Kluyveromyces lactis: one gene and its partners. Each later gene encodes a partner of the first gene's protein in a complex. Links are inferred from orthologs where the notes say so. Each region holds a gene or a part of one and is shown in the gene's direction. Other genes may lie near its edges. The genes, in order: STE4, STE18 and GPA1.

Region 1 (3,393 bases):
AAAAAAGATGTGGACACAAGAGGAAGAAGATTGTTTGAAATCCGGTTTGAAACAGTGCGGACCTGCATGGGCCAAAATATTATCTCTGTACGGTCCTGGAGGAACGGTGTCGGAATCTTTAAAGAACAGGTCCCAAGTTCAACTGAAGGACAAGGCAAGAAATTGGAAAATGCACTACTTAAAAAATATGAAACCAGTTCCAGAGTACTTGGAGAAGGTGACAGGTGATTTAGAAAGAGGTCTGAAAAGCAAGAAGAAACCCAAATCCAAGCCCAAACCAGCGGTCTGATGTGAGCGTCGGGAAAGCGGGACCAATTTAGCATATATAAACTCGTAGTTATCATTGAATGCATAGTCATAGTATCATCTCGTCCTTGAATAACCTTATGCAGCAGTTTTTCACAACAGGATCTATTCGATTCCCTAATCTTTACATTTTTTTGGTTTGTGGCCAGCAAGCTCTTTCATGTGGGAACATTAGGTATATCATAGTATCATTGCATCATGATAGCAAATTCGACTACATGTTGCATTCGAAGTTAGGACTCTAGAACAGTGGTTTTTTTTGGTTGCTACAAGCCACACATCATTAACCGTTCCTGGTACCGGAGACCTTTTCCCCTGTCACCGAAAACTGAACGCAGTAAATGCCATAACGCCATAGTAAATGTATCTAAGTAAGGTGTGAGAGCTATGTGATAGTCTGCGTCTGTATTGAGTGTTCGCGTAGGCTTCCTTTATTTTATTTTTTCACCTAGCGTGGAGATCGTCTTGCAAAGAGCGACAGTTTTTGAGGTTGTCATTTCACAAAAACTTGGTAAGATCTGTCTTGTTTAAGAGAGGCTTTTCTAGGCATCATGTGAAATATACAACGCTGTTTCACTGGGGAGCTTCGACACTGGCCCTTTTGAGGATACAATTCCTCATGCTGTAGAACGAGACGCTAAGGAAAGCACGCTTGAATATGTGCATTGATATCTTTTATATTACTTTTGCTTTTATTTGGAGTGTCTAAATCCATGACTGGAAGTTTGAGCTGCAATTAGCAATTGAGTTACATAGCGAACTAAATAAGGCATTGGTTCATTAGGATTTAACAGCAGTACAGCATATACATCGAAGTTGACAATCTGTTAAACAAGTGAAATAGCAGAGAAAGATTGCCTGTACAGCTTTGGTTCGGAGGTTTAATGTTGTTTGCAAAAATGACATGACTTTTATGCATGATATATATATACATGATGGAAGAAATATGGTCGTTTCCTTTCGCGGCGTTAATGGGCATTTTTGGTACATTGCCTTGTTCATATTTGTAGTAAATTAGTTTGTTGTGAGTAAATTAGGGATATATATATATATGAAGGTCCTGGAGAGGAAATCAGCAGAAAGGACGAAATCTGTTTCAGAGTGCCTCTTAATCGAATCGCAGATTCTAATGCTGGTGATCATTGATTGAAGTTTGCAAAGTTCGATACTTACTCATTTCATTTCAACCCCCTTCCTTTCCTTATTACAGTGTCTAGTTGCAAACAGCATCCAAGATGGAAGTCGATTCAGCAGAATATGCAATTCGTCCACAGGAACTGATTGTGCACGATTACCATTATCCCAATATGAATTCAGCTGGTACAGTGGAGGACAAAATAAGGACAGCAAAGACGGAGTGCAAGCAGTTATACGACCAAATCAACAGAATTAAAGGCAAAATTCAAGACACTCAATTGATGAACTTGTCTCACGGCGTCAATTCATTACACGAGTTAAACTTACAACCGGTTCGAACTTTGAAAGGACATAATAATAAAATCTCAGACGTAAAATGGAGCCAGGATTCGGCAAGCGTACTCAGCTCGAGCCAAGACGGGTTTATAATCATATGGGATCCCTTCACTGGGCTTAAAAAAAGCGCTATCCCCTTGTTATCCCAATGGGTCTTGAGTAGCGCTATCAGTCCCAGCGGAAATCTGGTTGCAAGTGCGGGTTTGGACAATCATTGTTCAGTGTATCGTGTTTCAAGAGATAATAGAATACAACAGAATGTGATTTCCATCTTCAAGGGCCATACCTGCTACATTTCAGCTACGGAGTTTCTTGATGAGAGGACTATTTTGACTGCAAGTGGTGATATGACATGCGCTATGTGGGATATTCCTAAAAGTAAAAGAGTTACGGAATTTATAGATCACTTAGGCGATGTCTTGACCATGGATTTACCACCAGCAAACACTGGTCGATATGGTCATAATTTCATCACCGGAGGATCGGACGGGTATGCGTATCTATGGGATGTTAGACAGCCGAATTCAGCCCAAAGTTTTTTCATCAGTGATAGTGATGTTAGTGCCATCAAATTTTTCAACAATGGAGAATCCTTCATGGCGGGTTCAGATGATGGTAGCGCTAGGTTATTTGACTTAAGAAGTGATTGTCAGATATCGACGTACTCATTTTCAGACGGTTTACTTCAGCAGCACCAGCTTCAACAACAACATCATCCTCATCCTCATTCTCATGCTTATTCTCGTATTCAAAAAAATCGGTATGGCTCATCCTCTTCTTCAACTTCGTCTTATCCAATTGTAAAAACACCTCAATCTTTGAATTTCAAGGAAAGTTGTATCGAAGATCAAGGAGTCATATCAATAGATTTCAGCTCTTCTGGTAGATTGATGTACGCTTGTTATGCGGATTACGGGTGTGCAGTATGGGATATTATCAAAGGAGAAATGATTGGCAAAGTTGATGGTCATCGAAACAGAATAAATGCCGTCAAGACGAGCCCTGATGGAATGGCAGTAGTGTCTAGCTCATGGGATATGACCCTAAAAGTTTGGACACCGGTTCATCAGTGAAATGATGAACTGAGAATGGTAATGCATATCGAAAAAAGCCGCAAAATAGCCCTTATAATACTACTGAAACCGCTCAGTTTGGCTCTTGTTCATCGCAGTAAGTGAAACTTTAAGATGCAGCTGAGGAAGCCTCCACCAACCTGCAAATTTTATTGAGCAGCTGGTTCGGAATTTGAGACAATAATATTACAATGTCATCCTCTTGATGACGTCTCTTAGCAATTTCTTCAGATACCGGAGGAAATGTAACAATTGTATTAATTACCTTTTGAATAGTATCAACATCAGATACCGATATAAGATTAATAGCCCTTTGTAAGTTTGTAACTTGACCCAAACTTATTTCATCTTCATTGTAAATTGGTACACTGCCAGAATTTAATAACTCTTCCCGCAGTTTGGTTTGATGGTAGGGAAACCTTCCCTCATAATCAACATTGTACGCATTATTATCGAAGGATAGTTCGTGATGAAAAGTGTAAGTTGTCGAGCAAAATTTGACCTTTGCTATTATCTTTAGCTCAAACTCACCCCAACCTTG
Region 2 (2,078 bases), on another chromosome or scaffold:
GTATCGTGATTTAAGGGTTTGTTTTTGAAAAGTGAGAATAATCACTCAATCATCCACACAACCATACAATAAATATATCATACCCCATGCATTTTACAAGATTAAACTGGTTTTAATTTTCTGATAGTGGAATTTTTGACTATCAACCCTGCTTACGTTCACTACTTGTAACGAACACCTATCTTTTTTCAATAATATATTATACTACCATATATTATTATATTTCTCTCACTCTATATTATATGCATTTTACCAATTCAATATCATTTTTCCTGTTATAATATTAATATTTACTATTAGTTTCATGAATTCGACTTTAACATTAGACCTATATACAGATTTAGAAAAAAAACAGTTAAAACGAATGATATGTACTCACATTATGTAGTATTCTTATGGGTAGAATTCCTTGTACTTCTTGTAGTAGTACCAAGTACCCAGACCACCAAGAACAGTCAACACCACTGGCACTGGTTTCTTGAATCTGCCTGGGATACCTCTGGCGATACCGGTGACTAGCATCACACTGGACGCACCTAATGCGATTTCTAACCCGTTGTCAGCATTGTTCTTCAAAAGGTATCCAGCGTACCCGTAAATACCACCGAAGGTCAACCCGGCAACCAACGATGGAACACTTCCCTTACGGATGTAACCCATGGTACCACCAATGGTGGCTAGAGCAGCTAAAGCAAAACTTGGATGGTCCATTGTAATTGTTATCTTTGTGAATATTAGATGAACTCTGTCGGTGAGAACTAGACTGGGTTGTGCTATATAAATTGTGAGGTGTATTTAGTTTGAACATGTCTATCATGATGATGGTCATTGCATTTGTAATTTTGTTTTCACTTTTATCTCTGAATTTCATACAGGGAAAGCAAAGAAAAGGGATTGGATCGGGGTTCGACAGTCACGTGACTAAAAAAGGTCTCCTTTCCCAGGCGCTGGACAGCGTCAGTATGAGTTTTTTTTATGGCCAAAACCTCATTAGATACTGATTTGAGGTTTCAAGATGAACCACAACCAGACAAATATTGACTGAGATACTGGAGGTTCTCATGCCAGCGGGAAATTTAGTACAGGATTGCTAAAAGAAAACGTTGTTTCAGTCAAGGGTTTTATGTATATAAAGGTTTGTAATTGGTAGTTTTAACGCTTGGTACAACTGTTTTGCAGAAAAACTCGGTGCAGTGATAAGAGTGAGTAAAGATAAGCTCTCTTCCTTGGTGTAGTTTTCGAGTTTGTATTTGTGTACCACTGATGGGAGAGTTACCATATAAGATCCAGGAATTGAAATTGAGAAGAATCGAAGAATTGAATAATAAATTAAGAAATGAGCTAGCAAGGGAAAGAATGACTGCGTCAAATGCTTGTTTGTCCATAATCGACTATACCTCAACCCATAAGGATTACGCTGTTCCAGAAGTATGGGGTTACCCAATGGTTGGTGAAAACCCATATAATAATACTATGAGGAAGAACAATTTTGCTAGATCTCACGAGGAAACGAGTGCCTGTTGTACCATAATGTGATGATAAAAATATTGCTGCCGTATACTCTCTATGCTTATTAGTTACATATATATTTAGATAAAACGAAATGCGAATGCAACAATATTAGATCTTATTCTTTCAATTGACACATACGGAGGGTAAACGATTCCCTCACTTCATCCCAATTGTTTCTCCTCTTTGTTCAACGTTACTTTGTTCATTTTCAAAGATGGATCGATATTACCGTTCTCGTCAGTGCATCCACAGTCGTAATCTTCTAAGATTGTGTTACAATCGTACCTTGGTTTTTCAAGATGATCGTTCACTAGATTATGAATATGACAGCCCCATAAAGCAGCAGTGGTTCTACTGGCTACTTGTGGTGGGTATTTCTTCAACATCTTGACGAAATGGTAAGAACATTCGCCACATGGATATAACTCCGCATATAGGTAAAGAAATTCACGTAGTTTCGTTTTCTCTTGCTCTGTAGGCTCGTCGGGAAATCTGGCTAAAAGAGTGTGGAAATATTTCCATGAAGCCCGCCCCAAAGCCTTTTTCGCCTCCTGATCAGGCATCTT
Region 3 (3,435 bases), on another chromosome or scaffold:
ATAGAAGTCGATGACATAATCTATTTGTTTCCCGCAGCGATCGACGACCCAATCGTGCCTATCAAAAGGTTTGGTCATTCCAAGGATTGAGGATCTAAACCATGCTCTTGGGGTTAACTTCTTTGAATCGCCTTTGAAACTAGTCAATTTGATGCCACCACAGACATCTCCCCCTTGTCCGTCTTCCCAAATTTTGATATAATTCCATACTCTTTCATTAACGGAATTGTGGATGGGAACAACGGCTTTCATATCCACAGCTTCGGGATCCCAATTTTTTCTCTTCATTGCCTCGAAGAATTGCTTCTCTGATGGATAAACCCAATTATCCGATGTTCCGGTTCTAGGAATGGAGGATTTCTCTCTCTCTGTTGGCAAATTAACAGCTGTGGTATATTTCGGGTGTTCAGGTATCTCATCACTTGAACATTCGACATCCTCAGTGATGATCGATATGATTGGTGCTGGTGCTGCTGCAACTGCAGCACCGCCAGCAGAGCCATTAACGGTCTGTAGATGGTTTTTCAGCCATACATCCTGGGAAGAATGGTCTACCGGACAAACTCCTGACCCTTCAGAACTAGCCGGTGGATGATTTGGAGGTAGTGCTTTTGCTGATTCATTCTTATTATTAGTGCTCTGTTGTTTCAACCACACTTCCTTCGTGGAGTCATCCACAGGACACTTAGGCTGTTCTGGCATTCTTTTGCACTCCACAGTTAGCTTCTAAACAGTCGCGAATCCCCTTTAAGCCGCCAACGATGTTGCTTCTATATTTCGAACTATTGCGTTCAAGCCTATCCTGATGAAATGCGCATGAATAAGCTTTCCTGTATTCGCATGTTCTGCATACTTTTCCATTTCATTCATTTCTTTTCAATTGATATCAAATTGATGAAGTTTCAGAATGAAATTGATATCCACGGGAGATGACATTTCATTACCCGAATGTGCGACAAACATCCTTGTTTCTCACGTGACTTGACCTCCAGATGGAGACAGCTCTCCGTTGTACATAGCAATCGATCTTGCAGCCACCGTTAACATATTGTGGTGCAGTAATTACCTGCAGAGCGACTTCAACCTAAATCTGAAACAGGGACGTTGCTAGGAATGTTTTTTAAAAGGAAGCAAACCCTTAAACAGTGTCAAGTGCTTGTTTGTTTTTTACTTGCTTGTTTTATTTTCCAATTGAGCTTGATTTTAGTTGTCGTCTCTGTGAGATTTCTAGGGTATCTGAGTTGAGGTTCTTGACTCAAAGCTTCATCATGTTTTGAGGTTCCTATGATAAAGGCTATGCAATGCTAAATCAGGAATGTAAAGTAAATATTGCTACGTTACCTTTTAATATTAACATATATATAGACGGATTGGCCACATCGTGCCAACTACGGCGAAAACGTGAACTATAAAGGAAAATGAAACAAATGAAAGAAACTGACGCTGGCCGGCAAGAAATTAAGCATTATGGGTTGCGTCGCAAGTACAGGAAACTATGAGAACGAGGATGATCCCTTCATTCAAAATAAAAGGGCAAATGATCTCATTGAGCAAAATTTACAGCAGGAAAGGAATAAGAATAAGAATGAGGTGAAGCTCCTTCTATTAGGAGCAGGAGAAAGCGGTAAATCAACAGTGTTGAAACAAATGAAACTCCTACACCAAGGCGGATTTACCCATAGAGAACGAATGCAATATGGACAAGTCATCTGGGCAGATGCAATTGAGTCGATGAGAACGCTAATCTTACAAGCAGGCAAGTTGGGCATCGAATTGGATAGTGATTTGAAAAATGCACATTCGGGGCAATTGGTGAATACGGAATTACACCAATGCAAAGAGAAGATCTTCCGTGCTAACACATTGGACCAGATTGATGCCAGAATGGCGGGTGGTTCAGAGTTCCTAAACGAGTATGTGTTGAAATATAATGGCATAGGATCTAAGAAGAAGAGGCAAACCACGCTTGGATTCAAGGAATCAAATGGTGCTGATCCTGAAGAAGAGGATGAGACAGACGCTTTCTTGAGTGAAAAATTAGCCGGGACAAGTTATACTGGTTCCTCGGAGACTTCAGAGTTGAAACGTATAGACCAAAGTACCAACGAAGAAATTGCCTATGCAATCAAAAAGCTTTGGACGCAGGACAAGGGGATCAGACAATGTTTCAATAGGTCAAGTGAATTTCAATTGGAAGGATCTGCATCGTATTATTTTGATAACATTGAAAAATTCGCTCGAGTTGATTATGTTTGTGATGACATGGACATTTTGAAAGGAAGAATTAAGACCACTGGGATCACCGAAAACAGTTTCAAGATTGGACCAAGCACGTTCAAAGTTTACGATGCTGGGGGACAACGAAGCGAGAGAAGAAAATGGATCCATTGTTTCGAAGGTATTACTGCTGTGGTATTTGTAATAGCAATTAGTGAATATGATCAAATGTTATTCGAAGATGAAAGGGTGAACCGTATGCACGAATCGATAGTATTATTAGATACACTATTGAATTCTAGATGGTTTGCCAACACACCTTTCATACTATTCTTAAACAAAGTAGATATTTTCCAAGAAAAGGTGAAGAGATCTCCAATCAGAACATGGTTCCCCAATTATCCAGGGAAACTGGGTGATAGCGAGACTGGACTGAAATATTTCGAATCATTATTCTTAAGCTTGAACAGAAGTAACAAGCCCATCTACGTACATCGAACTTGTGCAACCGATACACAATCAATGAGATTCGTTCTAGGTGCCGTGACAGATTTAGTAATTCAACAAAACCTAAAAAAGAGCGGCATCTTATAAATCCTTTAGGTGTAATATGTCAGGTAACGCGCACACATTACATATAAGTTGTACATAGTTAAGCGATGAATAAGGTTCTAGATCTTTTAGAGGGTAACCTCAAATATTTGTCAGACCCCATCACAAAGGCCAGGTTAAAAGTGAAAAGGCAAAAAAACAGGGTGTTTCCGGGTAACGAAAGATAGCAAGCAAGTCTACTATTTAAGAACTTCAACAAGACACATAAGTACCCTTGCTTGACGAAGTTCTACTGTACTGACAATATATAGATACTTGCAGGATATAACCGTTAATCAAGAGCCATAAAAAAACATACACACCCAACATACCATTACAGAGAATGTCTATGCAGACGAGTTTGTGCAAGGAAAAGAACATCCCATTGAGCCAGATCATACGGCCCATTCAGCCGGTCCTAGACCATGCAAAGATCGATGCGATGATATCTACTTTCAAGGGAACACCGAAGGCGTCTCGAACAATGACCGAGTCACAAGCTGCAGAACGTGTTGCCACATTACCCGCCGATCAGCGTCTACCTCCAGTGGACGTCGCTGCCGTCCGTTACCCGGAAACAGGAGAAACAAGGTACTTTGCATTCGGCGGCTGCCATCGTCTCCAGGC

The links.
Region 2: the proteins of STE4 (region 1) and STE18 are in contact, whole or in part, in a cryo-EM structure (PDB 7AD3), measured with the Saccharomyces cerevisiae proteins. The link is inferred for Kluyveromyces lactis from reciprocal best matches to the Saccharomyces cerevisiae genes STE4 and STE18. Residues at the interface, in NP_014855.3 of Saccharomyces cerevisiae: Ile60, Ala63, Ser64, Leu65, Met68, Ala69, Leu75, Lys79, Asn81, Phe279, Asp281, Ser284, Met296, Asp298, Arg300, Ser301, Ile305, Ser360, Gly361, Arg362, Leu379, Gly421, Tyr422; in NP_012619.1 of Saccharomyces cerevisiae: Arg50, Ile51, Thr52, Ala53, Ser54, Asn55, Ala56, Cys57, Leu58, Thr59, Ile60, Ile61, Tyr63, Thr64, Ser65, Thr67, Lys68, Asp69, Tyr70, Thr71, Leu72.
Region 3: the proteins of STE4 (region 1) and GPA1 are in contact, whole or in part, in a cryo-EM structure (PDB 7AD3), measured with the Saccharomyces cerevisiae proteins. The link is inferred for Kluyveromyces lactis from reciprocal best matches to the Saccharomyces cerevisiae genes STE4 and GPA1. Residues at the interface, in NP_014855.3 of Saccharomyces cerevisiae: Asn85, Gly90, His91, Asn92, Lys94, Ser104, Gln112, Asp113, Phe115, Leu117, Ala122, Ser123, Leu125, Lys126, Gln127, Asn128, Ala129, Gln135, Trp136, Leu138, Leu154, Asn155, Asn156, Arg168, Cys182, Tyr183, Asp224, Leu226, Ser248, Asp272; in NP_011868.1 of Saccharomyces cerevisiae: Thr7, Gln8, Thr9, Ile10, Asn20, Lys21, Ala23, Asn24, Ile27, Glu28, Ser30, Leu31, Gln32, Glu34, Lys35, Asp38, Lys43, Thr301, Gly302, Ile303, Glu305, Leu318, Arg324, Ser325, Glu326, Lys329, Trp330, His332, Cys333, Phe334.

Annotation. Positions count from the first base shown.
Region 1 is NC_006040.1:584,748-588,140, forward strand, and holds STE4 (G protein subunit beta), read left to right. Parts: upstream 1-1,541; coding exon 1,542-2,852; downstream 2,853-3,393. Other genes in the region: TBF1 (Tbf1p), read left to right, coding at 1-289; KLLA0_D06809g (uncharacterized protein), read right to left, coding at 2,962-3,393. UniProt on the Saccharomyces cerevisiae protein: Implicated in the a- and alpha-factor response pathway. The beta and gamma chains of the putative yeast mating response pathway G protein play a positive role in initiation of the mating response.
Region 2 is NC_006041.1:557,327-559,404, reverse strand, and holds STE18 (Ste18p), read left to right. Parts: upstream 1-1,263; coding exon 1,264-1,536; downstream 1,537-2,078. Other genes in the region: TMH11 (Tmh11p), read right to left, coding at 394-711; ERV2 (flavin-linked sulfhydryl oxidase), read right to left, coding at 1,674-2,078. UniProt on the Saccharomyces cerevisiae protein: Implicated in the pheromone A- and alpha-factor response pathway. The beta and gamma chains of the putative yeast mating response pathway G protein play a positive role in initiation of the mating response.
Region 3 is NC_006042.1:2,405,130-2,408,564, forward strand, and holds GPA1 (guanine nucleotide-binding protein subunit alpha), read left to right. Parts: upstream 1-1,467; coding exon 1,468-2,811; downstream 2,812-3,435. Other genes in the region: cytochrome c1 heme lyase CYT2, read right to left, coding at 1-702; SRX1 (sulfiredoxin), read left to right, coding at 3,152-3,435. UniProt on the Saccharomyces cerevisiae protein: Alpha subunit of the heterotrimeric guanine nucleotide-binding protein (G protein) that mediates mating pheromone signal transduction.